Linked DNA regions of Stegostoma tigrinum. The protein of the gene in region 3 interacts with the protein of the main gene of each other region in a pairwise test. Links are inferred from orthologs where the notes say so. Each region holds a gene or a part of one and is shown on either strand. Other genes may lie near its edges. The genes, in order: pkp4, lrrfip2, atpaf2 and rad54b.

The links.
Region 1: the proteins of atpaf2 (region 3) and pkp4 interact in binary tests that used the Homo sapiens proteins (3 or more experiments, as listed by UniProt). The two-hybrid records come from large-scale screens. The link is inferred for Stegostoma tigrinum from reciprocal best matches to the Homo sapiens genes ATPAF2 and PKP4.
Region 2: the proteins of atpaf2 (region 3) and lrrfip2 interact in binary tests that used the Homo sapiens proteins (3 or more experiments, as listed by UniProt). The two-hybrid records come from large-scale screens. The link is inferred for Stegostoma tigrinum from reciprocal best matches to the Homo sapiens genes ATPAF2 and LRRFIP2.
Region 4: the proteins of atpaf2 (region 3) and rad54b interact in a two-hybrid assay, tested with the Homo sapiens proteins (2 studies listed by BioGRID). The two-hybrid records come from large-scale screens. The link is inferred for Stegostoma tigrinum from reciprocal best matches to the Homo sapiens genes ATPAF2 and RAD54B.

Annotation. Positions count from the first base shown.
Region 1 is NC_081360.1:58,118,636-58,126,228, reverse strand, and holds the start of pkp4 (plakophilin-4), read right to left. Parts: upstream 3,306-7,593; 5' UTR 3,119-3,305; exon of another isoform or gene 3,099-3,118; intron 3,063-3,098; exon of another isoform or gene 2,765-3,062; intron 1-2,764. UniProt on the Homo sapiens protein: Plays a role as a regulator of Rho activity during cytokinesis. May play a role in junctional plaques.
Region 2 is NC_081358.1:6,313,080-6,321,375, reverse strand, and holds the start of lrrfip2 (leucine-rich repeat flightless-interacting protein 2), read right to left. Parts: upstream 3,330-8,296; 5' UTR 3,097-3,329; intron 732-3,096; 5' UTR 647-731; coding exon 557-646; intron 1-556. UniProt on the Homo sapiens protein: May function as activator of the canonical Wnt signaling pathway, in association with DVL3, upstream of CTNNB1/beta-catenin.
Region 3 is NC_081376.1:20,184,985-20,192,652, forward strand, and holds the start of atpaf2 (ATP synthase mitochondrial F1 complex assembly factor 2), read right to left. Parts: upstream 3,418-7,668; 5' UTR 3,237-3,417; coding exon 3,131-3,236; intron 1,026-3,130; coding exon 981-1,025; intron 1-980. UniProt on the Homo sapiens protein: Plays a role in the assembly of the F1 component of the mitochondrial ATP synthase (ATPase).
Region 4 is NC_081358.1:91,296,029-91,303,934, forward strand, and holds the start of rad54b (DNA repair and recombination protein RAD54B), read right to left. Parts: upstream 3,128-7,906; 5' UTR 2,819-3,127; coding exon 2,699-2,818; intron 1-2,698. UniProt on the Homo sapiens protein: Involved in DNA repair and mitotic recombination. May play an active role in recombination processes in concert with other members of the RAD52 epistasis group.

The DNA.
Region 1 (7,593 bases), on a different chromosome or scaffold from region 3:
GGTGATAGGTGGATGCAGGTGGGGACTGGTCATTGTAACACTTCATTTCAACAAGAACAGTTAAAAAGAAATGATTTCTAAACTCTTACAACCTAAACTATACCCTTTCAAAACCCTAAAAACAAAATATATAATCTTTCAGTAAAATTAATCTGCTGAGAATCAGATCAACATTAGATGGCCTATTGCAAAGGGTTTTCTGCAGAAAATCTGAAAAGCACATTGGATAGATTGTTTAAAAAAATGGCAAAGCTTTGGCAGATAGTAAGAGCATAAAACTGTAGTTACAACTCAAAATACCTGTGACAAGCACTATAGAAACAAAGCATCCCTAAAACTAATGCAGAAAACTACAAGCCAATTAGCTTCAGTATTCAGGCAGACAAAATCTTCCCCAGAGGATGAAATAACAAAAGAATTGATAAATAATTACCAGCATGGAAGCTGAAAAATGAAGCAGTCATGTTTAATCAACCTTCCTGTATCCTTTAGAAAGAGCAGACATTTGAGACGACAGTGTTGAAAGTTGTTTCTATCCTGTTTTTATACTGTATTCTTTTTATTCTGGGCATACTGAAATTAGTTGAAAAGATAGCACAATACAGTTGGCAAGAGAAACAGCAAGAACTACCTGTGCTGGAGAATCTGAGATAGGTTTTAGAGCTAGATGAACACAGCAGGTCAAGCAGCAGAGGAGCAGGAAAGCTGACGTTTCAGGTCTGGACACGAAACGTCAGCTTTCCTGCTCGGCCTGCTGTGTTCATCTAGCTCTACGCCATCTACATTGAGGTAACAAGGTGATGTGTTTAGACACAGCTGCCATGTGGAATGGTTAATACTTGATACAAGTACAAGTACATCAGCAAGATACAAACACCTGCTGAATGAGAACTGACTCATGGGGCTAAGTAGCCCCTCCTGTTCTTGTCAATACTTCAGAATGATAGGAAGTAGTCACTAATGCAGTGAGATGGCACACAGGCACCATAGCTACTAGTATAACCAGTTGGGTCACAATAAACATGACTTAAATTGTATAAAATTACTTATTTAAAGATGATTATTTGCAGTTAGAGAGTCTAGAGTTGTACAGCACTGAAACAGACCATTGGTCAAACTTATCCATGCCAACTAGATATCCTAAATTAAATCAGTACTATTTGCCAGCACTTGGCCCAGATCCCACCAAACCCGTTCTATTCACGTACACATCCAGATCCATATGACATTGCAACTCTCATACTCAATGCACAGACCAATACAGGCAAGCATATCAAATGCTTTCTTCATTAGCCTGTGTACATGGAACTCCACTTTCAAGAAAATATGAACCTGCACCTCAAGGTTTTTGTTCAGCAAGAGAGCGCAGAACACGACAATTAAATTCTGCCCTGGTGTGCCTTCCAAAATGCAACAGTTTCCACTTATGAAGAGTTAAATTCTATTTGCCATTCCTCAGCCCAACTAATCAAGGTTTTGTTCTTTTCACAGACTTCTTCACTGTTCACTACACTAATATTCATAAAAGTTGAAGCATACAAAAAACAAGGTATGTGCAAATATCTTTTTTCTGCTCAACACTGTAATCTGACGCCATCATTTTTGGTTCAACTGCAAGTTAGATTGCAGAGGCAACAGGTTTTATTGGTGCTCTCCCTACAAATGCCACATCTGGAAATCTAACAAAAGACCCTGCATCTTGCATTCCCTGTTTTATCTCTTCTATCCCTGCAAGAGAATGCAAGATTTGATTTGTTTTCATTTGGGGCAAAAAAAAATTACAGGTGGTCCAAACAACTTTAGCTCATAGCAGAAAAATCAGAGTACATTATTCATAAATGCAGTATACGTGCAAAGAAAGCAAATAAGTTAAATTGAGAAACACAGCATGCTGTCTGAACAAGGGAGCTTTTCTGATGAAGGTTCGAGGCCCGAAACGTCAGCTTTCCTGCTCCTAAGATGCCACTTGGCCTGCTGTGTTCATCCAGCTCCACACCTTGTTATCTCTGAACAAGGAACCTGTCTACTAAAAAGGTGACTTACGTAAAATTCCCTATAGAAAAATATTGTTGTTGTACAAAGTAATTTTAATAGCTTTTAAACAAGCACAAGAAAGAAAGAAAAAATTAGCAGAGATGCCGTTTAAGTGAAAACTCAAACTGTCTGGAAATACGACTTTCCTTTAAAGTTACCCAATTTGTATCACGCTTACAAAATGTCTCAATAACAAAATCAAAGGATAGAATGGATATACATGTGCAGTTGACTGTTTCGCTTTAGATTGCTAATGTCTCGGACAGAATTACTTAAAATTGGAGCAACTAAGAATATTCGATATTAACACACGTCTACTGACCGGTAGAAAGTTAAACAGAAACCACAGTCACACACAGATTTAGTAACGCCCAGTTACCGCACAGGGACTGGTTTATCACCATTAACAATCAAGGATCGTATTCTCGACAGACCAGTACAGCCAATGCAGCACAGTGGCGCAAAGGCGTATTTTTTTTCCTAATAATGATGCAAAATAAGCGCTCAAACCCCCTTCGATTGTTCTCTAAACAGTGGCCATATTCCATTATGACCGCACTGAAAAAAAACTAAACAAGGGGCAGGCAAGAAAACACGTAGCCGAAAAAGGACACGAAATCAAAATACAGTTATACCTCAATGGAAAATTTCATTTTATTGCCGCCACACCTTCACTGCGGGAAGGACTCATTCAAGTGAAACAGTCCGCAATCGCGGAACACCACCTCACCATTTTCAGTTGAAATGAATCATTTCGGGAGTGTTCTCGCCTCGGTTTTCATCAAGAACAATAGGAACCAAATGGTCATGTAAATCGTTCCGTCCCCGGTCGTTGAACATTGAGACACGAACAGGAGAAGGGTGGCAGGAGTTGGAGGCGATTAAAATCACGCCAGCTCTGGGATCCTAGCCACCCACGAAACGTTTCTCACCTTCCTCTGGCCCACGGGTGTGCGAACACCTGTCTGTGACTGGTGAGCCAAACCTCCCAGTTCATTCGCGCTCGCTCGCTCGCTCGCTCCCACACACACACACACACACACACAGACAGAGATATATTCCTCACTTATACCGAAACACTTACTACTCTGGCTGACCGGGCCACACTTCGAAAGGAAGCACCAGAAAAGACTGGAAGGGGACAGACGCCCCTTTCCAGCAACCTCAACCTCTCACTCTCACTCTCACTCCTCCCCTCTCCAGGGACGGGGTGGGGAGAAGCTGGAAACGATCGACCCCGCGTCACCGCCCTGCTCTCGGGCACGGCTTGGCCGCATTGGTCAGCCTACCAGCTACCCTCGCCTCCATTGGGTGCTGCCCCTGCGAAATCAGCCAATTGGGAAAGGTGTACTTGGTTGCCATCGCGGCGTCGCCTGTCAACAATCCGCGGCTGAGTGAGAAAGATGGCAAGGTGAGTGCGGCTTCCTCCACTGCAGCGAGCTCACCTGGCTTCCCCAGCACTGGAATTCGCCTCTGGGATGAGCCATCTATCAGTCCGAGATGTGATCACAGCTGCCAGGACTTTTGTGATGTGAGTCAAATTGTCACCAATTTAGGCAATAAAAAGGAGGAAGTAATGGTAAATTATTTTGCGAGTAAACCGATTTTTTTTTCGTTCCGGAATGTTTTTGCGGATGATGCACGTTAGCATTGTGAAACCAAAATAAATATTGAAGCCAAGATAAACCGGCGTTTTACTATTGACAATTTCATTGCAAGATATGGTGATTGATAAATAAGTGGCTTCTTAAGTATACATTGAGAAATTTCTCATAAATCCCAATGATTAAATGTTATGCCAAACAAACATTCAGCCTAATTACTAGTCCTCGTAGATTGACCTAATAAAGATGCTCGAAAAAGGTAGCTGAGGTGCTGCTTGGCCTGCTGTGTTCATCCAGCTCCACACTTTGTTATCTTGGATTCTCCAGCATCTGCAGTTCTCATTATCTCGAAAAGGGTAGTGACCGATCCATTTCCTAGATTTGTTCTCGCTCTCTCTCTCTTCCCCCGCCCCCCGGGGAGATTAGTTTCTTCTTGTTCTTTTCCCCTTCCACAACCTACATATTTAATTGAACATCTACCATTACCACCTCTTTCAGCATTAGGTTATCCAAGCATCTTTCTATTCCCTCCCTTTTCAGCATTCAAAACAAACCAAAACCAAAATTCCCACAGCAACATTCTGGTGGATACCTCAATTGTACTTTAAAATCAACTAATTCTGAGACAATGCCAACTCGTCTTTGTCCTTAACTTCATCCACTGTTGGACTGAAGTATGATCAAAACTTACAAACTGCACATCACTTTCAGGTTGAGTCCCAAAGATTAAGTATCCAATATGGTATTTAATTCTGGGTTGTAATCTGTCCCCTATTTTCAAATCATAGCATTAGTGATGATTCTACTAGTCCTATTTATGCTCCAAGATTTTTTATTCCCTTACTTGCCCAGTCACTTTCTTTTGCTTTGTGGAACCGTTCCATTTGTTATTTAGTCTCTCCAATCCCTTCCTTGTTCCATCTATCAATTTTGTACTTGCTTAACATCTGTTTTCACTAATATTTCAAAGTCAGAAAATATCATCAACCCAAGATCTTAGCTTTGTTTGTCACCACAGGTGCTGCCTAATGAGTATTTCCAGTTTTTCTTTAAACAGAGCTAAGTACAAGTCTGCTAGAAAATTCACCCCGTGCATTCCTCATGTAAACATCCACCATTTTCTTCTCATGAAGAGATTAACTAATTGCTAGATAGCTGGTCACTTCACAATATCTTGCATCTAGATTGTTAACCAGCACTTGAAGCCCACAAGTAGTGTTAACATAAAGGTGCAAAAATCCCTGGAACTTGATCAGGTTTATCTTAGAACCCAGTGGGAAGGTAGGGAAGTGATTGCTGGGTCCCTTGTGGAGATATTTGTATCATTGTTAGCCACAGGAGAGGTGCTAGCAGAGTGGAGGTTCAGCAATGGTGGTAAAGTTGTTGGAGGGAATCCTGAGGGACAGGACTTATGTATTTGGAAAGGCAAGGATAGATTAGGGTTAGTCCACATGGTTTTGTGCATGGGAAATTGTCACTAACAACAGTTTTTTTGAAGTAGTAACGAAGAGGATTGATGAAGGCAGTGGATGTGATCTATATGGGCTTCAGTAAGGCATTCAATGCTCCTCATGGTAGGCTAGTTAACAAATTTAGATCATAGGAAATACAGGGAGAACTAGCCCATTGGATTAGGACTGGCTCAAAGGTAGAAGACAGAGGGTGGTGGTAGAAGTTTGCTTTTCGGACTGGAGGCCTGTGACCAGTGGCATGCCACAAGGCACAAGAATCTTTGTAGAGTCCACTGCTTTTCATCATTTATATAAACGATTTGGATGTGAGCAGAGTCGGTATGTTTAGGTTGGCAGATGATGCCAAAACTGTGTAGTGGACAGCAAAGAAGGTTATGTCAGAGTACAATGGGATCTTGATCAGATGGGCAGAGGAGCAGCAGCTGGATTTCTAAATTTAGCTAAATGCGAGATGCTGCATTTTGAAAACGCAATTCGGGGCAGGGCTTACACACTGGCTAAGGTCCTGGGGAGTGTTGCTGAACAGTTGAACAGAGAGACTGGGAGTGCTGATTCATAGTTCTTGAAGGTGGAGTCACAGGTAGACAGGATAGAGAAGATATTTGATATGCTTGCCTTTTATGGGTCAGTGCATTGTGTATGGAGTTGGGAACGGTCACGTTGCAGCTATACAGGAAATCGGTTAGGCCACTTTGAATACTATGTTCAATTCTGGTTTCTCTGCTATAGGAAAGATGGTGTTGTGAAACTTGAGGGAGTTACAAGGATGCTGCTGACTTTGTTGGGTTTAAGGCTTTTCCCATATTTATTTTGACACGACTACTGTCATTATCCAGGGAAGATTGAAAGATCGTCATCAAAACCTTCAGGTTCGGGGTCATGCTGTAAATTCATATAGTTTGACGCACTCAAACCAAAATACAGGCGGTTCCGCTATGACGCGATAGTTACGCTGCAGAAAAATCACGCTGTGGAAAATAACTGGGCCAATGAGAAAAGCGGAGTTAGGGGCAGACCACCAAAAGCGTGGCTCAAAGGATAGCACTACGTTCGGCAGCTGTTCAAACAGGTTGGTCCGACTGTGACAGCTGTTTGGCAGATCCTTTTCTGATTGCATATCTGTCCTCACTATTTCCAAAGAGTGCAGGACAGTTACCCGGGTGTCCTAGTCAATGCTTATCCGATAGTCAGCAACAATTATGGATTGTCCTCTCATCAGACGTTGCTTGGGAGAGAGAGTTATGCGTGAATGCTGTTGTATTTTCTACAATGACTGCACTTATATACACTTAAGTGGCTGTCAAGCTCTTTGTGAAAATCGAGATTGTTACAGGTATAAGCTTTTGTAAGCAAGAAGGTCAAAGTTCAAGTCCTGCCTCAGAACTCAATGGCCCGGCAAGGCGCACTCAAGGTGAGATCTGCAAATCCTTCCTGCCAGAAGCAGAGTATAGGTTCGGAGATTCAAAGTTCCAGACTGCGATATATACACGTATGTTGCCATAGCAAATTCGACTCCTTCAGCCATTCACACCGTGTGTATGGAGGGCTATGGCGCAAGGGTGCAAAAAACAAACAAGTTGAAATACAAGCCCACCATGATCTGGCTGCTTACTTACATAGTCTGCTGGAGCAGCCTCTTGTGCCCAGCTCCTGTTCTTCAGTGTTTCCCTTCAAAGGAAAGAATATTGTTCTTCCATTTTCCCTACACCCTAATTTTTAAACTAATAAAAGAAGCCAGCAGGTCTGTTTCAATTATTGAAAAAAGCTGACCGAATTTCCGACTCAACCACAACATTGTTAACAATACCTACAGTGAACTAGTACAAAGGGCTCCTGACAGCAAGCTGCCTACTGTATGGAATCACAGCCAACACAAGTTCACGTTTAAAATGCGTTTCCCTATTTGTCAAACAGCTTATAGCCAATTAGTGTTGCCAGAACATGTTTATAGCAAAGACCCCTGTAACTCTGGATAGGAATATCCAGTCAGTCAATAAAATGAGGACTTAGTGACTTTTTCTAAGTCACTCTATAGCACTGCATCATAGGTCAGGAATCAAAAACAAACTAATACCTAAACAAGCTTATGTCAGCAAGTTCCTTGATTGGGGCTGTTAATCTGGTCCAGTCAAGGAGCTCAGAGGTCCAGCTAGCTGACCTTTTATGCAAAAAACCCCAAAAGCTATGGATTAAAAATATACTACATGCCAATGAACTAAACTGGAAATTCAACATTTTCTACATCACTATTCAAACCCAACTATTTTCATTGGCATCATTGCTTTCACATTTCCTGCCAATTCAGGTATTAACTCACTCAGAAGCCAGATAACAAGCATGAAACCAAACACCAACTGAACATGACTGGTAGTATTATTATAATTCTGTCAGAGCCAGAAATAGACAAACTTTATTCTTGTTAAAAGGTGCTAGAAGTGACTACTTCCCCAGGAATTTTTCTTCCAAGAATAGGGATTTGATCC
Region 2 (8,296 bases), on a different chromosome or scaffold from region 3:
GAGATTTCTTAAATTTGGAACATCTGATCCAAATACATCCCACATTTTAAAAAAGTGTGAACAAAACTAGAACGCTGGACATTATTAGTTCAATGTGCAATACATGACGTTTTTTATTTGAAAGACATTATCAAACTACAGCTTCTCAAATCATGGGCAGTAATATTTAACTTGTGAAACAATTAAAAATATTCCAGAACATCCTGCGCTTCACTTTGCTGTGAAATTTAGAGACAAATAGATACATCTGTTACTCAACTATACAATGGCAATCAAAAAGAGACTATTTTTAGATATTAAAGTTATGTCCCAGTACCACTTAAAGATGTAAGATTGCAGCAGCATTCTTTTCCAATACTGAAACAGAACTTGCATAAAAACTGTAGTTCAACTCATACAAAGTATGTCACAAGCCTTGGCTTGTCGCATTGTGTACCCTAGAGGGGATGTGAATTTAAACTATAAACTGAAGATAAAAGGTGAGAACATCCCACCACGATGAATAATCACAACAGCTGATAATAATGGAAACATTCAAAATTAAATTTCAACCAACCTCTCTGGCAATGTGGCTCAGGGCCTCATCTTCAGCAGAGAATCTGTCTTTAATAGGCGTTCGTTTCCTTCCAGATCCAGGTGTCCCCATTTTCTCCAAACAATTAAAATCTTCTACAAGTCCAAACCAATAAGATCGAATACCATTTGGAGGGGAACTCCTTCCACCAGTTGTACTACAAGACAAAATTAGATTCTTACCAAAATTGTTCTCCTCCAAAGAATAATTACATGTCACAAATTAATAGAACATAGGCCCTAATTTCAAAGGTTGGGGCATAAGATCAGGGAAGTACGCAGTGCTGCTGAGACTATTTTTGGAGTACTGAGAACAGATCTGGTGCCCTTAAGGTAGGGTTTCATTTCATTGAAGGCAGTTCAGAGAGAACGTTAACAGGGTTAGGGGAAGGGAATCACATCACTTGGGAAGTATTAAATTCTAACAGGACAAGACAAGCGAGATGCAGGAAGGATGTTCCAGATGGTGGGTGGAGTCAAGAACCAGGGTTCATGGTTTAAGAATGAGAAGTATGGTTTTTAGTTTTGAAATGAGAGGTTTCTTCGCCCAGAGTGTCACCCCTGTGCAATTCACAACCACAGAAAGTGGTCAAGGCCAAAATATTGTGTTAAGGAAGGAGGTAGATACAGCTTGTGTGACTAAAGAGATCAAGGAATATGGGGGAAGAAGCAATTAGAGTACTGAGATTGATGATCATACTGAATAGTACAGCAGACTCAAGGGGTCAAGTGGTCTACTCCTGCTCCTAATTTCTATATTTGTTATTACAATGATCTCAATAAAGCAGCTGTCTTATGAAGAACAGCCAAACAAGTTGGTACCGTATTCACTGGAGTTAAGAATGAGGGGTGATCTCAGGTGAAATATTTACGATTCTGAAGTGAGTCGACAAGGAAAATGCTGAGGGGATGTTCCTCCTCACTGGAGAATGTAGGTACAGAGGGCACAGTCTCAGGATTGAGGGGTGCCAATTTACGACAGAAGAAATTCCTCCTTATCCCAATGGGAAGTGAGTCTTTGGAACTCCTAGCTACAAAGGGTAGAGTCCTTTGTATTTAAGGATCAGATTCTTGATTTGGAGGGGAATTGGAGTTACGGACAAAATGCAAGAAAGTGGACGTGAGTAAAGTCAGAACAGCCGTGATCCTATAGAATGACAGAACAGACAGAAGGGGACAAATTGGCCTACTCTTATTTCTAATACTTATGATCTTCAGGGGACAAGAATATCGTTTGACAAATTATGCTGCAAATCCTAATGCTGCAATTTCCCATGACTTTCACTGGTTAATGTCATTTAACAGAAATTAACATAACTTGATCTCAAACCAGACTGTAATGTCTCAATACTTATACTTCAACTTTTTTGCTTCAACACTAAAGTTGCAAACTATTAAAATAATTAGTGTTCTGACATTCATTTTGGACAAAGAAATGAATACAAAATAAGTTGTGAATAATGTGAAGACTGTAAAGCTATCTGTGATGTAAAAAACAATTAGCCCAGTAACTAGGAGAAGGTCAACTCCTTTTTTCATAGTCATACAGCTAACAGGTGCAAAGCATCATGACATTTCAGCACATAATACTGCAGTGTCAATGTGCCAACATCAAACTGCTGTCTAGACGTTTAAAAAAGTTTCAAATTGGAGTCTTCTTGTTAACCATTGTGCAGTTTTATCTATATATTAAATCTAGAAGAATATACAGAGGTGCTTGACAGAAGCCAGAAGAAAACAGAGTTCAAACCAAAAAGAGATTAAGAAGGATGATCCAAAGCTTGGTCAAAGGGTGGATTTAATAAAAGGGAACAGTATTCGAGATACAAAAAGGGATTTAACATCTATGCAACTTAATACATAGCTACAGATGCCAGAAAAGGGTAGATGCACAAAAGCCAAAAGGAGTCAAGAGGAAACAACTACAGCTAGGAAAATCAATATGCAGAATTCAAACAAAAGTACAATCATGTAAAATAGTCAAGAAGCTACGACAATAAACAAACTCAACAATCACTACCAAGCAGAAGTCGATATGGCAGCAAAATGTCTATCTATACTGCTCTCCTATCACTCCTGTCATCACTGGGTCTTCATAACCTGCAGTGAAGTTTGACAGCAAACTGCTCTGGAATGCAGCATGACTGCCCTCTCATCGCCAAGGTAACCCATTTCACCTCAAGCTAACTCCGCAGGTTCGGAGACATGATTTTTTGAATAAAAGGTAGTAATCCTGGACAGGAGCCAAAAGTTGAGTTTGAATGTAAGCAATGCAAGGGCGGTACAGCGCAGGAAGCGGCCCGGCCCCGGGCTGACACCAGCAGCGCGGCTCAGACCTGCTCTCTCCAACAGTGACAATAGGCCAGGCTAAGACCAAGTCAAGCTCGGGGCGACAGGCCAGGAAAAGGGGCTTGAAAAGCCCTCGAGGTCGGCAAAGGAGATTAAGGCCTATCCGCCGATCTTGCCGGGGGAACGGAACGGAGGTGCGGTGCTGGTGATCAGTCGGCCCCGAGGTTGTCTTACCAAGCGGCTCGGCCACTCCTTCGGTCAGTCCTGGACAATCAACCAGCCATTCGTCTCGTCACCAGCTGAGCCACCCGTTCAAACATCACCAACAAACCCGTTTCTTGATCCGACCACTCGGCTTTAGCTCCGCCTGAAACGAGGATTTTAAAATAAAACTCTAACCCTATCCCAAAATTAAACCACCACCAGCTGGCAACTCCGCCAATTCCTTTGCACGCATGCGTCAACGGCTCCCGCTGGGCATGCGCTTAACCGCGTGCCTCGCGCCAGCATTGGTTGAGGCGGCTCGGTGCGCACGCGCACAGGCTACAAGTTCGGGTTGGTATGCGCTCGGGGGCGACGTTCTGCGCATGTGTGCGCGTTCGGCGAGGCGGGATTGTGAGCGGTTTGGAGAGCCTTTTGAGCGACCGTGGCGAAGATGACAAGCTCAGCGTTTGGTCATTTGTTGTAGGAAGTCAGGGAGGTCCCGAATGAGCACTGTGTCGAGCTGGACGAACACAGCAGGCCAAGCAGCATCTTCGGAGCAGGAAAGCTGACGTTTCGGGCCTAGACCCTTCATCAGGAATGGGGGAGGGGGAGGGGGAGGGGGAATCTGAAATAAATAAGGAGGGGGTGGGGAGGCGGATCGAAGATGGATAGAGGAGATAGGTGGAGAGGAGACAGATAGGGAAAACAGGCAAACATCAGCTTTCTTGCTCCTCTGATGCTGCTTGGCCTGCTGTGTTCATCCAGCTCTACACCTTGGTATCTTGGATTCTCCAGCATCTTCAGCTCCTCTTATCTCTGATACAATTTTAACCCCACTGTGAAGCCTCTTCTAACGATGCCTACCCTGAAGAAGTTACCCTCCTGCCTCCGGACAAACTTCAAGAGATCTCTCTCCCACTGCAACTCTCTCGTAATCTCTTCAGCCTTGAAACTGCTCGCCATCCCCACCTCCTTGACCTGTCTGTCTCCTCTCCACCTATCTTCTTCCTCTATCCATCTCTGATCTGCCTCCCTATTTATTTCAGAACCCCCCCATCCCCTCCCCCATTTCTGAAGAAGGGTCCAGGCCCGAAATGTCAGCCTTCCTGCTCTTCTGATGCTGCTTGGCCAGCTGTGTTCATTCAGCTCCACACCTTGTTATCTCAGATTCTCCAACATCTGCAGTTTCTACTATTCTCAGAGTCCTGAATGAATTTTTTTTCTTGCGATGTGCTGAGGAAGGCACTGCAGTTGATATCAAACAAAAACAAGTAGCTGGAAAAGCTCAGCAGGTCTCCCAATATTAGGGAAAAGACTGAAAACTGGAAGGGCCTGACAACTGGGAAAACAGCACCATGTGGGACAGTCCTGAGGACTGAAAAATAGTGCTGGATGGGAGAGACCCAAGAGCCGGAAAACATCCAAAGGGAAAGGTGCAAGACCTCAAAAACCAAGACGAAAGGGGAGTCCTGCCGCAGCTTGCAAAAAGCGCAAGGCATAATAGGACTAGAGCTGGAAAACAGCATGAGATGGAAGGGTCAGAGAGCTGATTTGTTTTTTAGAATTTCATATATTATTGTCATGTCTAGCTAGGGACCATGAGATGTTTTGTTTCTTGTGCAGTACTGGCAGATCATACCAGCCAAAGTGCAGAGGGTAAGAGAACACAGCATGGAATACAATGTTACGGTTGCAGAGAAGATGTACAAATAGCGAGGTCGACATTAAATTTGGAGAGGTCCATTCCAAAGTCAGGGAAGAAGCTGTTCTCGAATCTGTTTCGTACATGCATTTAAGCTTTTGCCTTTTCTGCTTAATGGAAGTGGTTGGAAGAGATTATAACCAGGGTGAGAGGGATCGTTGATTATGTTGGCTGCCTTACTGGGGCAATGAGAAGTATAGATGGAGTCACTGGATGGAAGGTTGGCTTGTGTGAATTACTGGGCTATGTTCACGACACTCTGTAGTTTCTCACAATCCTGGCCAAAGCAGTTGCCGTACCAAGCTGTGATGCATCAAGATAGAATGCTTTCTATGGAGCATTTATTAAAATTGGTAAGAGTCTTTTGGACATGCCAAATTTCCTTAGCCTCCTGAGGAAATACATGTGCTGTAGTGCTTTCTTGACCACTGCATCAATTTTGGTTATCATCACTCCTAGGAATTTGATGCTCTTAACCATCTCCACCTCAGATCCATTGATGCAGACAGGGGCGTGCCCTCAACCTTTCTTCCGGAAGTCAATGACCAGCTCTTTCATTTTACTGACGTTTGAGGGTGAGATTGTTATCTTCACACCACACCACCAAACACTCTACCTCTTTCGTTTATTCTGTCTTGTCATTGAGATCCAGATTATCATGGTGGTGTTATTAACAAACTTGTTGCCAGAGTTTGATTTGACAACACAATCATGAGTATACATGGAGGGCCTTGCACAACGCTGGTGTTGAGATTGTCATGGAGGAGGTGCTCTTGCCTATTCTCATTGACTGCAGTCTGTGGGTCAGAAAGTCAAGGATCCAGTTGCAGAGCGCGGATTAAAAACCTAGGTCTTGGAGTTTGACGATTAGTTGGAATTATAGTATTAAAGGCAGTGCTGGAGTCAATGAGTGGAAGACTGATGTAGGTATCCTTTTATTCCAGGGATGACTGTAAGGACAGGGAGATGGTGTCTGATATGAACCTGTTGCAACGGTAAGTGAGTTGCCAGGGATCAGGGGAGGCTGGAGTTGACATGAGCCATGACTGACCTTTCAAAGCACTTCATAATTGTGGAGGTCAGAGCCACTGGGTGGTAGTCATTGAGGCAAGCTGCATGAAGTTTTTCTGGTACCGGCCTGATGGTGGTCTTCTTGAAGCAGGTGGGGACTACAGATTGTAGAAAGGAGAAGTTAAAAATGTCAGCGACTACTCCTGCCAGCTGGTACATGCATAATCTGAGTGCATGGTGGGGGACTCCATATCGGCCAGTCGTTTTCTGTGGTTCACTCATAAAGGTCTGACATCTGCAATGGTGAATGATGGAACAGATACATTGGAGGCTGTCTCATGGTTTTATGGAGGTCACATCTGGATTTCCTGTAAACATTAGGGTCATCTGACTTGAATGCCACAAACCTGGACTTTAGTTGGCAATGGATCTCCGCTTCATCCATGCTTTCTGATTGGGGACTATTCGGTTTGAGTATTTTGTCACACATCCTTCCACACAAGTGCTAATGAATTATTTAATGGTAATAGCATACTCATCTAGATTGGCCGCTGAATTCTTGAAAATGGACCAGTCCACCGATTCAAAGCACTCCCATAGAAGCTCCAACAGTACCTCGGAATAACACTGCTACTTTCTGTACAATGTCCTCATGTTTCAAATTCTGCTTGTAAGCTGTGACGGGCAACACTGCGTTGTGATCTGATTTTCGGAATGTAGATGGGGTATGCAGCAGTAGGCATCTCTGACAGGTGTGTAGCAATGGTCAAGGATGTTCAGCCCTTGATGGGGCAGGAAGCATGTTGATAGTATTTTGGTAGCATACTGTTGAGGTTGGCCTGGTTGATGTTGCTGTCTATAATGAGTGCCTAGAGGCATTCCACCTCAATTCCATTTGTAGCAGTGTATAGCGTAGGGTGTTATGGAGACTGCTATCAGGATAGTGGAGGTGAACTCGCGTGATAGGTAGTATTGATGGCACTTCAAAGATAGATAATCTAGCTGGATATACCACAAGAAGGAAGAGATCTGAGACCTGAAAAACACAGCAAGGAGAGTGATGACTGCTTGAAAACATGTTGAGTATTGAGGTCTGTGTGCTATGATGCATTTCAAGAGGGGAGGAGATCTGAGCCCGGGAAAACAGATTGAGGTGAGAGCTTGAAAACAGCACAAGCATTTGGAAGTATATGTTCTGTGATGTAGGGTGAGTTGGGAAGGAAATTAAGAGATTGAAAATTGTCCAAGCATAAAGACATATGGGAAATGAAGAACCGCGTGATGTGAAGGCTCAAAAACAAGGGTGTGCAGTATGGGGTTTAAGAGATCAAAAATAGCACGAGAGGGAGAGCTCTGAGTAGTTCAAAAGCACTGTGTGATGTGGTGGTCTGTGAGCTGGAAAATAGTGAGAGTGGGTAGTAGTTCAAGACGTAGAATGCAGCATGACAGTGGTGAGGTTCAAAAGCACAAGTGGGAACAGATCTGAGAACTCAAAACCAGCACATGTGCAGACTGGTTTGAGAGCTGGAAAACAGCACAAGAGACTGGTCCCACAGCCACAAAACAGCACCAGAGGGAGCACACTGAGGGCTGAAAAGTTAGCTATAATGGGTTTGACCAGTGAGCCAGAAAACATCAAAATAAAGGCCAGATTTGAGAACATAAAACTCGAAGAAATGGCCCGAGAGCCAGAAATTAACAGCTGATAGGAGAGGCCCGTAGCCAGAGAGTAGAGTCAGATTGGAGACGTGGAAGGCACCCACAGGTGTGCAAGAGGTCATATGGCAAACATTTGGAAATCAGTGTGGATTGGAGAGACCTGAGGGTGTATAAATAGAATCAGAGATAATGGGAACTGCAGATGCTGGAGAATTCCAAGATAATAAAATGTGAGGCTGGATGAACACAGCAGGCCAAGCAGCATCTCAGGTGCTCCTGAGATGCTGCTTGGCCTGCTGTGTTCATCCAGCCTCACATTTTATTATCTCGGTGTCTAAATAGAGCTGGACTGTGACGTTAGATACCATTGGGCCAAGAACCAAAAGACAGCAGCATTTGGGAGAGGGCTGAGGGCCCGAATACAGAGCCAGAGTGAAGGGTAATGAGAGAAGAGATGAAAACTGGGCAAAATGGAAGAGACTGTTGACCCAGAAGACTGTGCTGGACATAAGACGCCCAAGAACCGAAAAAGAACGATGGACAGGAAAGGTTGTAGAGCCAGAAAACCTCATCAGTTGTGAAAAGCTTGAGAACCAGAATCCAGAGCTGGTGTTAAGAAAAAACAGAAGAAAGAGGCCAGAGATGTGGAAATCTGGGCAAAATGGGAGAGGCCAGTGAGCCCAAAAAAAGTGCAAGAGGTGAAAGGATCCAAAACTGGAAAACAGCGCTGGATCAGAGAGACCCGAGAGCTGGAAAACCACACAGGATTGAAGAGGCCTAAGAGCTGCAAAACAAACTAAGGAGAGAGACCTGGAAACAGAGAGAGAAAGATGGAGGCAATACCGGAGCTCATAAAAA
Region 3 (7,668 bases):
GTGTACTTGAGCTCTGCCAACAGTTAAGTAATGAGCTCAACATGGAGCTCAACAGTTCAGGCCTTTCCAATGCAACTAACTTTCAGCTGATTCATTTCACATGCCCTGTTTGGCACTTTCAGCAACAAGTAGATTTGCATTTACAAACTACGTTTAACAAGTGAAATGTCTAAATGGATCAAAGGGGTAGATTTTAAAGGACGACTGATAAACACAGAGGATCAGCAATGGAATTCCAGGAGATCAGTTGAAGGTTTGGCCACCAACGTTAGTGTGATTCAAAGCAGCGATCCACAAAGACAATACTTAAAACAGTAGATATTTCAGAAGAGATTACAGAGATGAGGAAAGGCAAATGGGCTCTTGGATAGGTTTGAAAACAAATGAGAATTTTAAAATTGGGTTAGCAAGCAGAGAAATGGTGGATGAATAGGAATTGGTGAGAGTTAAGATTCAGGCAGATAGTTATGAGCTGAAGGTTATGTGAAGCCAGGTAGGAGTATGCTCGAATGTTGTATAAAAATAAGAAAGACATAAATGTGATTTCAACAGATGAGCAAGGCAAGGATGGAGATCACCATCATTGACTGGATGACTCAAAGAAATTCAACAGTAGGGCGGCACGGTGGCTCCGTGGTTAGCACTGCAGCCTCACAGTGCCAGGGACCCAGGTTCAATTCCAGCCTCAGGCGACTGTCTGTGTGGAGTTTGCACATTCTCCCTGTGTCTGTGTGGATTTCCTCCGGGTCCTCTAGTTTCCTCCCACAGCCCAAAGATGTGCAGGTGGATCGGCCATGCTAAATTGCCCGTAGTGTTCAGGGATATGTGGGTTATAGGGTGATGTGTCTGGGTGGGATGCTTCAAGGGGCGGTGTAGATTTGTTGGGCCAAAGGGCCTGTTTCCACACTGTAGGGAATCTAATCTAATCTTAAATAAAAAACACTACTTTTAAATATCAGACTGGAAAGCACAAGTCTTACCTTCCCCTTGAGAAATGCTAACATCCTGATAAAATTTCTTCCGCTCTAAAAAACAGTAAAATTACAAAAATAATTAGATGACTTTTATTTATCTGTATTTGCTGAAACTTGCACCACAGCAACAGTGCATCTACAATAATATACTCCAAGTGTGCACAGCAATTTAACCCAGTTACAGCATAAGCGACTTACATAATTACCCAAATCAAGCACGATTTTTTGGGACTTCTGTCCAGGTACCTTCAAAGAATCAAGCAAATACCTCTAGTTTGCTGAATTATTACACTGGTCACAGCCACTGAGGCCATTGTAGAACAGTCCTAAAGGGCTCAGAACCTGTACTGTATTCCACCACGTTGCTCATCAGAAAAATTTACTAAAAACTTAAAATTTCAAACAAGCAAAGGAAAGGTGTCTTGACAGCCAGGCCAGGCTAATATTTACTTGACCTTATTCTTGTTCTAAACATAGATTACAACCAAAAACTCTAAAATACCAGTTTTGGATCCCATGCTGCTTAGGAAGCCATTCTATACATATCTTAACAACAATGTGTACAGAAGGCAAGCAGTGGTACTTGTACAGCTAATTTCACAGGTTGTGGACAGAGAGTGATTTACAGCCAACGTGCGGCCTCTTCTGGGGTGCTCGAGCCCATCTGTTTATGACAACGATAAAAGAACATTTTCATGACTTTTGTTAGAGGATAAACACTGGACAGAATTTCCCTGCTCTTCTTTAAATGGTCTAGAACTTTTGCGGCCACTTGAGTGGTCAGAGGGAGCTCCAGTTTAATGCCTCGTTCGAAAGAACTAACTCTGTGAGCTATGTTTTTTTTGTATCAACCTGGATTCTGTATTCGAGTCTGTGGAACAGGATCGAATCTACAATCCTGAAGCTCAGAGGCTCAGGTGGTCCCACGGACACACGGCTGACTCTCTGTAATCGATTCCCAGTTTCCAATCTGAGATAATGGGAACTGCAGATGCTGGAGAATTCCAAGATAATAAAATGTGAGGCTGGATGAACACAGCAGGCCAAGCAGCATCTCAGGAGCACAAAAGCTGACGTTTCGGGCATAGACCCTTCATCAGAGAGGGGGATGGGGAGAGGGAACTGGAATAAATAGGGAGAGAGGGGGAGGCGGACCAAAGATGGAGAGTAAAGAAGATAGGTGGAGAGAGTATAGGTGGGGAGGTAGGGAGGGGATAGGTCAGTCCAGGGAAGACGGACAGGTCAAGGAGGTGGGATGAGATTAGTAGGTAGCTGGGGGTGTGGCTTGGGGTGGGAGGAAGGGATGGGTGAGAGGAAGAACCGGTTAGGGAAGCAGAGACAGGTTGGACTGGTTTTGGGATGCAGTGGCGGGGGGGGGGGGGGGGTGGAGAGCTGGGCTGGTTGTGTGGTGCAGTGGGGGGAGGGGACGAACTGGGCTGGTTTAAGGATGGGCAACTCATATTCCACCTGGGAACCCTGCAGCCATATGATATCAATGTGGACTTCACCAGTTTCAAAATCTCCCCTTCCCCTACTGCATCCCTAAACCAGCCCAGTTCATCCCCTCCCCACACTGCACCACACAACCAGCCCAGCTCTTCCCCCCGACCCACTGCATCCCAAAACCAGTCCAACCTGTCTCTGCCTCCCGAACCGGTTCTTCCTCTCACCCATCCCTTCCTCCCACCCCAAGCCGCACCCCCAGCTACCTACTAACCTCATCCCACCTCCTTGACCTGTCCGTCTTCCCTGGACTGACCTATCCCCTCCCTACCTCCCCACCTATACTCTCCTCTCCACCTATCTTCTTTACTCTCCATCTTCGGTCCGCCTCCCCCTCTCTCCCTATTTATTCCAGAACCCTCACCCCATCCCCCTCTCTGATGAAGGGTCTAGGCCCGAAACGTCAGCTTTTGTGCTCCCGAGATGCTGCTTGGCCTGCTGTGTTCATCCAGCCTCACATTTTATTATCCCAGTTTCCAATCTCTCAGATTTTCTGAAGAAGGGTCCCGACCCGAAACATGAATTTTCCTGTTCCTCCGGCCCGCTGTGTTCATCAAGCTCCACACGGGGTGACCTCTAACTCCAGCATCAGCAGATCTTACTACCTCTGAATGTTATGACATGTTTGGCTTCCATTGCTCTGGCTCACCCACCCGCTGCTGGATACTGCCGCCGCCACTCCACCGTCCTTCCCATCATCTGGGAACCAACCCCAGGCCTGAGCCGAGGGAGCACCCGGGCCCAGAGACGGCACAACATGGTCCCGCAGCCTCGGCAGAGGAATCGCACCAACGGGGCAACGGCTGCTGCCGTAAATCGCTCACTGAATCCACCACTGAGCTTCGGAAGACATTCACATTCAGCAAATACTCTCCTTCAGGCCGTCGCCATGTTGCTGACCTGCCACCCCGCAAAACATGCGTTGACGGATGTGCCCTGTATCCAATCACAAGGCGGCACACGGGTCAATCAAATAGCAGGGGGCGGGGCTTCATGGAAGCTGGTCGGGGATGATCCAATCACGTGGATGCCTTTTATCAAAAGTTTCCAATCACTGAAAAGTTCCTAACCGTGACTTTACCTCTCAGAGTAGAGGATGTATTTTAATTCCTGTGTAACACTGAAAATTAGTGATAAATAACAATGAATCTCTTTCTGTAATACCTTTTATGGTGTACAAGTTAATTAACCACTTTCTGAAGCGTAGTCACTATTTTAATGTAGGAAACACAAGAGCCAGGTTGTATGTACACCATAAACAGTAATGGAATTAAAGGCCGGATCAGCATACTCCTACTAAAGTTCTGATTGAAGCTCGTATCATAAGATTTGTTTCCTTGTGCTCCAAGTGCCATGTCAGCTTTTGCGTAAAAATGAATGAATACGAGATTTCAAATTACAAGAGAAACAGTTATGAGCTAACTGGATATCAAAGTGTGGGGCTGGATGAACACAGCAGGCCAAGCAGCATCCCAGGAGCACAAAAGCTGACTTTTCGGGCCTAGACCCTTCATCAGAGAGGGGGATGGGGAGAGGGAACTGGAATAAATAGGGAGAGAGTGGGACGCGGACCGAAGATGGAGAGAAAACAGGATAGGTAGAGAGGAGAGTATAGGTGAGAAGGTAGAGAGGGGATAGGTCAGTCCAGGGAAGATGGACAGGCCAAGGAGGTGGGATGAGGTGGTAGGTAGGAAATGGAGGTGCGGCTTGAGATGGGAGGAAGGGATGGGTGAGAGAAAGAACAGGTTAGGGAAACAGAGATAAGCTGTGAGGCTGGATGAACACAGCAGGCCAAGCAGCATCTCAGGAGCACAAAAGCTGACGTTTCGGGCCTGGACCCTTCATCAGAGAGGGGGATGGGCAGAGGGAACTGGAATAAATAGGGAGAGAGTGGGAGGGAAACCGAAGATGCAGAGAAAACACGATAGGTAGAGAGGAGAGTATAGGTGAGAAGGTCTCTGATGAAGGGTCTAGGCCCGAAACGTCAGCTTTTGTGCTCCTGAGATGCTGCTTGGCCTGCTGTGTTCATCCAGCCTCACATTTTATTATCTTGGAATCTCCAGCATCTGCAGTTCCCATTATCAGAGATAGGCTGATGGGGGTGCGGCTTGGGGTGGGAGGAAGGGATGGGTGAGAGGAAGAACAGGTTAGGGAGGCAGAGACAGGTTGGACTGGTTTTGGGATGCAGTGGGTGGAGGGGAAGAGCTGGGCTGGTTGTGTGGTGCAGTGTGGGGAGGGGATGAACTGGGCTGGTTTAGGGATGCGGTGGGGGAAGGGGAGATTTTGAAACTGGTGAAGTCCACATTGATACCATATGGCTGCAGGGTTCCCAGGCGGAATATGAGTTGCTGTTCCTGCAACCTTCGGGTGGCATCATTGTGGCACTGCAGGAGGCCCATGATGGACATGCCATCTAAAGAATGGGAGGGGGAGTGGAAATGGTTTGCGACTGGGAGGTGCAGTTGTTTATTGCAAACTGAGTGGGGGTGTTCTGCAAAGCGGTCCCCAAGCCTCCGCTTGATTTCCCCAATGTAGAAGAAGTTACTCCGGGTGCAATGGATACAGTATACCACATTGCAGATGTGCAGGTGAACATCTGCTTGACATGGAAGGTCATCTTGGGGCCTGGGATAGGGGTGAGGGAGGAGGTGTGGTGGCAAGTGTAGCACTTCCTGCGGTTGCAGGGGAAGGTGCCAGGTGTGGTGGGGTTGGAGAAGATTGTGGAGCGGACAAGGGGGTCGTGGAGAGAGTGGTCTCTCTGGAAGGCAGACAAGGGTGGGGATGGAAAAATAGCTTGGGTGGTGGGGTCGGATTGTAGATGGCGGAAGTGTTGGAGGATGATGTGTTGTATCCGGAGGTTGGTGGGGTGGTGTGTGAGAATGAGGGGGATCCTCTGGGGGCGGTTGTGGCGGGGGCAGGGAGTGAGGGATGTGTTGCGGGAAATGCGGGAGACACGGTCAAGGGCGTTCTCGACCACTGCGGGGGAAAGTTGTGGTCCTTGAAGAACGTGGACATCTGGGATGTGCGGGAGTGGAATGCCTCATCCTGGGAGGAGATGCGGCGGAGGCGGAGGAATTAGGAATAGGGGATGGAATTTTTGCAGGAGGGTGGGTGGGAGGAGATGTATTCTTGGTAGCTGTGGGAGTCAGTGGGCTTGAAATGGACATCAGTTTCTAGTTGGTTACCTGAGGTGGAGACTGAGAGGTCCAGGAAGGTGAGGGATGTGTTGGAGATCGCCCAGGTGAACTTGGGGTTTGGGTGGAAGGTGTTGGTGAAGTGCATGAACTGTCAAGCTCCTCTGAGGAGCAAGAGGCGGCGCTGATACAGTCATCAATGTAATGCAGGAAGAGGTGGAGTTTGGGGCCTGTGTAGGTGCGGAAGAGGGACTGTTCCACGTAACCTACAAAGAGGCAGGCATAGCTGGGGACCATGCGGGTGCCCACGGCCACCACCTTTGTCTGTAGGAAGTGGGAGGAATCGAAAGAGAAGTTCTTGAAGGTGAGGACGAGTTCGGCTAGGCGGATGAGGGTGTCGGTGGAGGGGGACTGGTCGGGCCTGCGGGACAGGAAGAAGCGGAGGGCCTTGAGGCCATCTGCATGAGGAATACAGGTGTATAGGGACTGGACGTCCATGGTGAAAATGAGGTGTTGGGGTCCAGGGAATTGGAAGTCCTGGAGGGGGTGGAGGGCGTGGGTGGTGTCACGGACGTAGGTGGGAAGTTCCTGGACCAAAGGGGAGAAAATGGAGTCTAGATAGGTGGAGATGAGTTCGGTGGGGCAGGAACAGGCTGAGACAATGGGTCGACCATGGCAGGCAGGTTTGTGGATTTTGGGAAGGAGATAGAAATGGGCCATGCGGGATTGGGGAACAATGAGGTTGGAGGCTGTGGGTGGGAGGTCCCCTGAGGTGATGAGGTCATGGATGGTGTTGGAGATGATGGTTTAGTGGATGAAGTCATGGATGGTGTTGGAGATGATGGTTTGGTGGATGAGGTCATGGATGGTGTTGGAGATGATCTCAGGTAACCAGCTAGAAACTGATGTCCATTTCAAGCCACCGACTCTCACAGCTACCTAGAATACACCTCTTCCCACCCACCCTCATGCAAAAATTCCATCCCCTATTCCCAATTCCTCTGCCTCTGCCGCATCTGCTCCCAGGATGAGGCATTCCACTCCCGCACATCCCAGATGTCCATGTTCTTCAAGGACCACAACTTTCCCCCCGCAGTGGTCGAGAACGCCCTTGACCGCATCTCCCACATTTCCCGCAACACATCCCTCACACCCCGCCCCCGCCACTATTGCCCCCAGAGGATCCCCCTCATTCTCACATACCACCCCTCCAACTCCGGATACAACGCATCATCCTTCGACACTTCCGCCATCTACAATCTGAACCCACCACGCAAGCTATTTTTCCATCCCCACCCTTGTCTGCTTTCCGGAGAGACCACTCTCTCCGCGACTCCCTTGTCCGCTCCACACTCCCCTCCAACCCCACCACACCCGGCACCTTCCCCTGCAACCGCAGGAAGTGCTACACTTGCCCCCACACCTCCTCCCTCACCCCTATCCCAGGCTCCAAGATGACCTTCCATGTCAAGCAGATGTTCACCTGCACATCTGCCAATGTGGTATATTGTATCCATTGCACCCGGTGTGGCTTCCTCTACATTGGGGAAACCAAGCGGAGGCTTGGGGACCGCTTTGCAGAACACCTCCGCTCAGTTCGCAATAAACAACTGCACCGCCCAGTCGCGAACAATTTCAACTCCCCCTCCCATTCCTCAGACGACATGTCCATCATGGGCCTCCTGCAGTGCCACAATGATGCCACCTGAATGGTGCAAGAACAGCAACTCATATTCCGCTTGGGAACCCTGCAGCCCAATGGTATCAATGTGGACTTCACAAGCTTCAAAATCTCCCCTTCCCCCACTGCATCCCAAAACCAGCCCAGCTCGTCCCCTCCCACCACTGCATCCCAAAACCAGCCCAGCCTGTCTCTGCCTCCCTAACCTGTTCTTCCTCTCACCCATCCCTTCCTCCCACCTCAAGCCGCACCTCCATTTCCTACCTACTAACCTCATCCCGCCTCCTTGACCTGTCCGTCTTCCCTGGGCTGACCTATCCCCTCCCTACCTCCCCACCTATACTCTCCTCTCTACCTATCTTGTTTTCTCTCCATC
Region 4 (7,906 bases), on a different chromosome or scaffold from region 3:
ATGTAAAGGACTAGTGACAGTAACATTTGCGTCACACAAATGGCAAGCAATGTCCATCACCAACAAACACCCAACCATCACTCCTGGACATCCAATAGCATTACTATCACTGAATCACCCACTAACAACATCCTAGGGATTACTATCGACCGGAAGCTGAATTGCACTAACTGTAGAAACACAGTGGCTACACGGGATTAGCAGCTAGGAAATCTGCAGTGAGTAACATCTCCTGACTCCTGACATTCTTTCTATCCACGGACTCTATTTACACGACTTACTGTCACAGAAAGGCAACCAACATAATGAAAGACCTATCACGACCTGGTAATGACCTCTTACAACCTCTTTCGTCAAGCAGAAGGTACAGAAGCCTGAACAAATGCACAAGCAGGTTCAGGAACTGCTTCTTTCCGGCCATTATCAGACTGTTGAATGGACTCTTGCCACAAATAATGTAATCTGCAACATAACCGGTATGCCTCAAAGTCTTTTAGATCTGTACATCCTTTGTTTGCTGTGATCTATTTGCACTGCTCATAAACAAAGCTTTTCACTGTATCTCGGTAAACATGACAAGAAAAATCAACATTCCTCCAGTGTTGCTGGGTAAAAATTCTAGAACTCAATCCCTAACATCATTGTGGTTGTACCTACCCGAAATAGACTACAGCGAATCAAGAAGGCAGCTCACTACATGGGTAATAAATGCGGGCCTAACCTGCAACACCAACATCTCATGAAAGAATGAAAAAAAAAGTGGTCCACCTCATGTAGGTACACCATAGCACTTTCAAAGAAATACTAAGCATTTTGACCCATTAATGAATGGAAATTGTGATCCAAGTCAGCACTGCGTGAACTCAGAGAAAAACTTCTAAGCGGTGTTGTTCCCATGTATCTAATGCTCAATGGAAAAGGTTGCCAATTTAGAAAATGGTGTTACAGGAGCCTAGATTAATTTTGGTAGAGCTTCTTGTACGTAGTACACACTGCTGCCACCATGAGCCAGTGTAGAGGGAGCAAATGATTAAAGTGATGGCTGAGGTGCTGATTGGGCAAGCTGCTATATCCCGAATGTTGTTAATCTTTGATCTTCCCTGGATCTGCACTCATCCAGGTAAGTGAAGACTATTCTGACGTACTCCTGACTTGTGTATTGTAGATGGTGGTTATGTTTTGGAGAGTAAGGAGTCATTCATCACAACATTTCCAGCATCTGACCTGCTCTTGCAGCCACTGTACTTATATGTTAAGGCTTCTGCTTCGTGATTACCTCTGTGCTGATGATGGTGACAAATTTAACTATGAGAATGTCATTAAAATCTTCAAGGAAGATTGTCTCACTTGCCGGAGGTAAATCATTTGCGACTTCTGTGGCAAAAATTACCATTCTGTTTACCATTTTATCAGCCCAAGCCTAAAAACTTCTATGTTTGTGGTGTATATGGACACGGAGTGCTTCAGCACCTGTCTCAGTGGTGCTGAACATCAGTCAGCGAACAATTGACTTTCAAACTGATGTTGGAGTACGATAGCCAATCGACGTGTGGGCTTGAATGAAAAACTGAAAGAAACACTCTATATCTGCATAGGGAGTCACTTGGCCTGGGGCAAGTCCAAGGTCAAATAGATCATTTAACAGCAATAAGAGGCCTCCGCTGAAACTTTCTTAAATTTGTGATGAATTGAAATTTGTGACCTTTTCAGCTCAAGATTTGAATGGAAAGTTATTGATAACACAGGTGAGAAGTTGGTCGACCTAGGACACAACTTTGAGAAACTGCTGCAGCAATATCCTGGGACTGAGGTGATTTCTAACAACCACAATCTGTGTTGGTATATCTTAAACTAGTGGATTTTCGTCAAATTCAGTTTAGCTGAAGCACCTTGATGCTATTCTGAGTCAAATGATACCTTGATAAGGGTACTCACTTCTCCTAACAGCCAGTTTCAACTTTAGAGACAAGGCAGATCTTGAATGTCTCCTACTTATCATTGGGAGTGAGGCATTTAAGAAAGTTTGTAGTGGAGAAAATAAGCCTGAAATTAACTTTACATTCAAGAATGATCATTAAAGAGTAAGCAGTTTGGCAGTATTGCCTGACCCAACAACGTGCTCCTGGTAGGTCCTGTAATGAATGGCTGCATCAGTTATCGGCAACAAAGAGTCATGTTTACATCCCTTGAAGTTAAGGCAGCAAACTTGAAGACCATGATGGGGTTCGGGGAGGAAGCTCCAGAAACAAGGCTTAAGTCTGTCATCACCAAAAACAAAGCCTACTGAATACTAATTGAATATATATATATATATTTTTTTAAGAAAACAACTTTGGTTACCTTCTCTTCCTAACTTGGAAAACAAATGTGGTGTCTCTGCACCCACAACGAAAACTGGATAAATTATTCTTTCCAGGGAGCTACACATATAGCAGGACGACAGAAAGCAGCACGGTGATATCTTGGGGGTCTTCATAAACTCACAATTATTCTTTCGATTTTATAAGATACACAGTAAACTGCCTGTGGTGCTCCCCGGTCAGAATGACGGAAATTAAATTTATACAGACAGTTACATATAGGCAATTTACATACACATCAGGAACAGTCTCAGTAATAAGGCATTGTGACAGGTGATCGACAAACTCAAAATGCGATACCTGGCACATTTTATTTTTAAACTTAATTTAGATTGTACCTCACTCGTTGCCGGGAGACTGGCGGTTGCCGAACCAGGCCCCCCGCTCCTGGGAGGGATAAACTTGAACTTTTTAGCTGCGTTGCCACTGAGCTGACTCGGAGCTGAAGACCTCCGCATTTCAGTCGCCTGTTACTCCGGCCTTCAGGAGAGAAGTATCTAGCCGTATGGACATGATCTAACCCCGCAGTTACAGGTAGGGCCGATCTCCCGGTGGATGATAATAAAATATCACCTCTCGATCACTTCATGTTTCCCGCTTCCGAGGGTGCAGCCGTGCAACGCAATGCGCATGTGCTGCGCTCGCGCTTCGCCCGCGCGAAATTTGCTTTTACATTAAAATACTTTCTCAAATCCACCAAGGCATTGCATACTAATGCTCCGAAATATCATGCTTTGCACTGTTTACCATTACCTCTGCTCCCTGGGATCTGCCTTTGCAATTCTAAGCATGTCGGGAAAGGAGATGGTGTGTTTCATTCCCAGTCACTTGCACCAAGATAACAAATAACTGCTGCTGCTGGAGATCGACCAACTTAGTTCACCAACCCTGGAACACAATAACGACTGAGTGTTGTGAACAGGCACATACCACCCAGAATTTCATGTGTAAATTTGGGGCAGTCATTCCAAATTCTCACTGGGGACACGCTGTGGTTTAAGGACTGGCCACTGTGCCATAGAATAATAAGAAATACAAGTAGCAATACTCCGTTTTGGCCATCGTGTACGCTCCACAATTCAGTACAAATATGGCTGATCTCATCATGGCCAAAACTCCACTTTCCCTTGTCAGCACCCTCATCCATAATATTTGATTCCCTTGTGGATCAAGCTCTAATTGGAACATGTTCAAAGATGCAGTTTCCACTACTCTCTATCAAAGGGACTCCAAATATTAATGATCGTCTGAGAGAAGAAATTTTTACGTGTTTCCATCTTCCATCTTGGGTGGTACAATAGCTCAGTGGTTAGCACTGTTGCCTCGCAATGCCAGGAACATGGGTTCAATCCCAACTTTGGGCGACTGTGTGGAGTTTGCGCATTCTCCCCGTGACTGCTTGGGTTTCCACTGGGTGCATCGGTTGCCTCTGACAATCCAAAGATGTGCAGCCTAGGTGGATTGGCTATGGTAAATGCAGGGTTCTGGAGTAGAGTAGTGGGGTGGATGAACTTCAGATGGTTGGTGCAGGTTTGATCAGCTGAAAGGTCTCAATCTGTACTGTAGCAATTCTATGATTCTATTCTATGAGGTAACAAGCAGGTTGGATAAAGGGGAACCAGTGGATGTAATATATTTGGATTTTCAAAAGGTATTTGATAAAGTACTACATGTTAGGCTACTTTGTAAGAACCAAATGTGTTGGGGGTAGTATCACAGAATTGTTACAGATCTGGCCAATCATGCCTCTACCAGCTCTTCAATTGAGCATCATTACCTAAATGCTAATTTCCTGCATTTTCCTCATAACCTTGCACACTATTTCTCTTCAAATAATCCAATGTCTCCTTGAATTCCTCATATTATTAGTACAGAAAGGAATTAACTAACTAATATAAGACAGAAAGCTGGGAAAAAGTTGCGGGGAGAGTGGGAAGATATTTATTAGAGTCATACCTGGCGCATGTGGCATGGTTGTCATTACTGAAGGTCAATCATCTGAGCTCAGGACATGTCTGAAGGAGATCTCTGAATGATAAAAGAGTTGAACTCCAGAGATGAAGTGCGAATGACTCCCCTTGAAATCAAGGCTGCATTTGACCCAGTGTGGAATCAAGGGGCACTGGCAAAACTACAGGCAATAGGAATCAGGATGGAAACTCCTCTGGGTAGCCATATGTGACACAACAAAAAATAATTGTGGTTTTGGGATGTCTGTAATTTCATTTCCAGGACATCACTGTAGCAGTTCCTCAATGGAATGTCTGGGCCTAACCATCTTCAGCTGCTTAATCAATGATTTCCCCTCCCTCGTAAGAACAGAAATGGGGATGTTCACCAATTATTGCACAGTGTTCAGCACCACTTTCGACTCTTCAGGCATAAGCAGTCCAGTTCAAATGCAGCAATCCTGGACAATTTCAAGACACAGGTTAGCAAAAATTATCTGTGCTGCACAAATACCAAACAATGATAATTTCCAATAAAAAAAACTAAAAATGGATCCTTGACATTCAATGACATTACCATCACTGAATCCCCCACTATCAACATCTTGGAGGTTACCATTGACCACAAACTCACCTAAACTTGTCCTACAAATAGTGGCTACATGGTCAGAAGCTAGGAATACGGCAGCAAGTAATTCACCTCCTGACTCCCCAAAGCCTGTCCGCCAATTAAAAGATACACGTCAGGAATGTGTTAGAATGCTGCCTACCAGCCTGGATCCATGCAGCTCCAATAAGCTTAATATTATCAGGACAAAGCAGCCTGCCTGATTGGCAGTACATCCACAAATGTATACTCTGTCACCACTGATGCTCCGTAGCAACAGTGTGTTCTATCTGAAAAAAAGCATTGTAGAAATTCCACCAAAAATTCTAAAACAGCTCCCTCCTAACCCACGACCACTTCCATCTAAAAGGACAAGGACAGCAGATGCACGGGAAAACAACTACCTCCAAGCCACTCACCATCCTGACTTGGAAATATATTGCCATTCCTTTGATGTTGTTAGGACAAAATCCTGGAATCCCTTCCTCCCCACATTCCCACAGCACGTGGACTGCAGTGTTTCAAGAAGGCAGCTGATCACCACCTTCTCAAAGGCAACTAGGGATGGGCAATAAAGCAATGCCTACATCCCATGAGTGAATAAAAACAAACATCCAGGATGTTAACCAATGCCTCAGGAAGCAATGTTGGGGCCATTATTATTTACACGATAAATGATTTGGATGAGAGAAGTGAATGTATTATCACCAAGTTTGTGGATGACACTAAAATAGATGGGAAGGCAAACGGTGAGGGTAATGCAAAGAGTCAGCAGATATATGCAGGTTAAATGAGTGGCCAGGAACCTGTGAATTGCAATACCAGTTCTCAAATTTCCAGAAACTATTTGATAAGGTGCCACGTCAGGTTTGTTATAGAAAATTAAAGCTCATAATATGGGAAAGCTTGTTGGTAAGGATGCAAGATTTGCTGATTAACAACAAACAGACATCAGGTGTAAATCAGTCCTTTTCAAATTAGCAAGATGTAATTAGTGATACGCCACAAGGATCAGTACTGAGACCTCAACTGTTTGAGTTTATATCAAAGATTTAAGATGAACAAATGGAGTCACACAGATGTGTTTAATCCTTTATTTTGTCTTAAACCAAATGAGGCACAGGTTTTTGTGTTCAAATGTTTATTCATGTCTGTATGAGAGATATACACTTCAAGAAAATGGCACACGGCTCAAATCTTTATTGCAAGAACGCAGGTATTATATAATTTTTACATATAACAAACTTATAATTAAATATTCCTACAGATAACAATTTCCAGTCAGAAGGTTACATATTTACTCCCTGTACCTCTGTCCAACTGTGTTCACACAATTCATATGTACACATGTCTATTTTATCCAATCATGTCCAAACTACTACATAGGATTATATTAACCAATCACAACTTTACATGTTCAGTCTCCTAGCTGTAGTACATACTTGTGATTACAGAAAACTAAGAATTTATTTTCCTACCGATTAGAAGGTATGAAAGCCAAATTTGCTGACAACAAAAATGTTAGAGAGGAAAGTAAGATGTGGACAAAAGGAGGTTAAAACATGATATATTGATAGATTAATTGAGTGGGAAAATTGGTGGCAAATGTGACAAATATAAAATTGTCCATTTTGGCAGTAAGGCTAAAAATGTAGCCCACTATCTAGATGGTCATGGATTGTAGAGCTCTGAAATACAGAGGGATTTGAATGTCCTCATGTTTTGCAGGTTAATTTAACTTCTTTTGTCCTGGTTCCTTCAAACAATGGCTGCTGGCTAGATGATTCGCAGCACTCAAAGCAAGGGAGTTCTTCTGTTCTCCTGGTTCCTTTTGACTGGCTTGCCTGGTTTCCAGCATTCAGAGTGAGAGACATATTTTCTCTTTTTTACCCGCATACAGCTGTTCTCAAAACTGTGACCTTCATAGTATGGTCCTCCACACACTATGACATAAGGCCACTAACATATCCACTTTTAACCCCTGTCTCTGTATATTCTTCAAATTGGAACATGAAACTATATTGTTCACACAGATGCTTTCTGTTTTACCATCATGATCACATTCTGAGCTGCACTTAGGAGATTACAATTTAGACGGTAGTACATTTTCTCCCCTTTTAAGTAAATTCCTTTTGACGTGTCCTTGACACCTTGTCAGGTATAACATTCCACTAAGTCTCTCTCCAGAAAGGCAATGAATTTACATCTATAGTCAACTTTTGGCTGCATGTTCTTTAAAAAATGTTATAACTAAAGTTTGTGCTGTCAGTAGATGATCCAGATTTATAATACATGGTCATGACATAGTCCAAGCTATAAAAGTCAGAGTGAAGTCTTATATTTTATTTTAACAGTAAAAATAGATTGGGCTTTTCTTAAAATTTGGTTAGGAAAAGTTGGCAAAGTAACTGGTGGGAAAGTCAATAATGAAAATAGTCATATCCTGTGAACATGTAGAAATTTGCCAAAAGGATATGCTTGCAATGCCATCAGTTAAAAAAAAATTAAGATAGAGTGATGCTTCACCAGATTTGAGTATCTCGAAAGGAGTTTGATAGGAAAAAGGTTGATTGTGCATTAAACTTAGGTTCTTTGTTAAATGAACACTGGCAGATTCATGAGAATATGTTCCATAACTGACCACAATGGTAACCAAATTGCAAAAAAACCCTATGATCCATGAAGTCAGATTTCATTCTGAGATCTGACTTGTCCTCTGTTACCATATACAGATGCAGCATTTTTATTTAGATTGTACTTCTCAAGTATAATGTTCCAATATGCTCGATAACTAATGAAACATTTTTTGAAGTATAATCACAATTACAAATTTAGAAACTGTAGCAACTAAATTGTACATAGTAACATGCCAAAAATAAGTGTGATAATAATTAGATATTATTTTCTAGTTATGGGATTAAAGTGGCAATAATATCAGCAAGACCTCTGCTGCTCTTTCCCGTAATGGTATGGGACTTTCATGGCAGCTG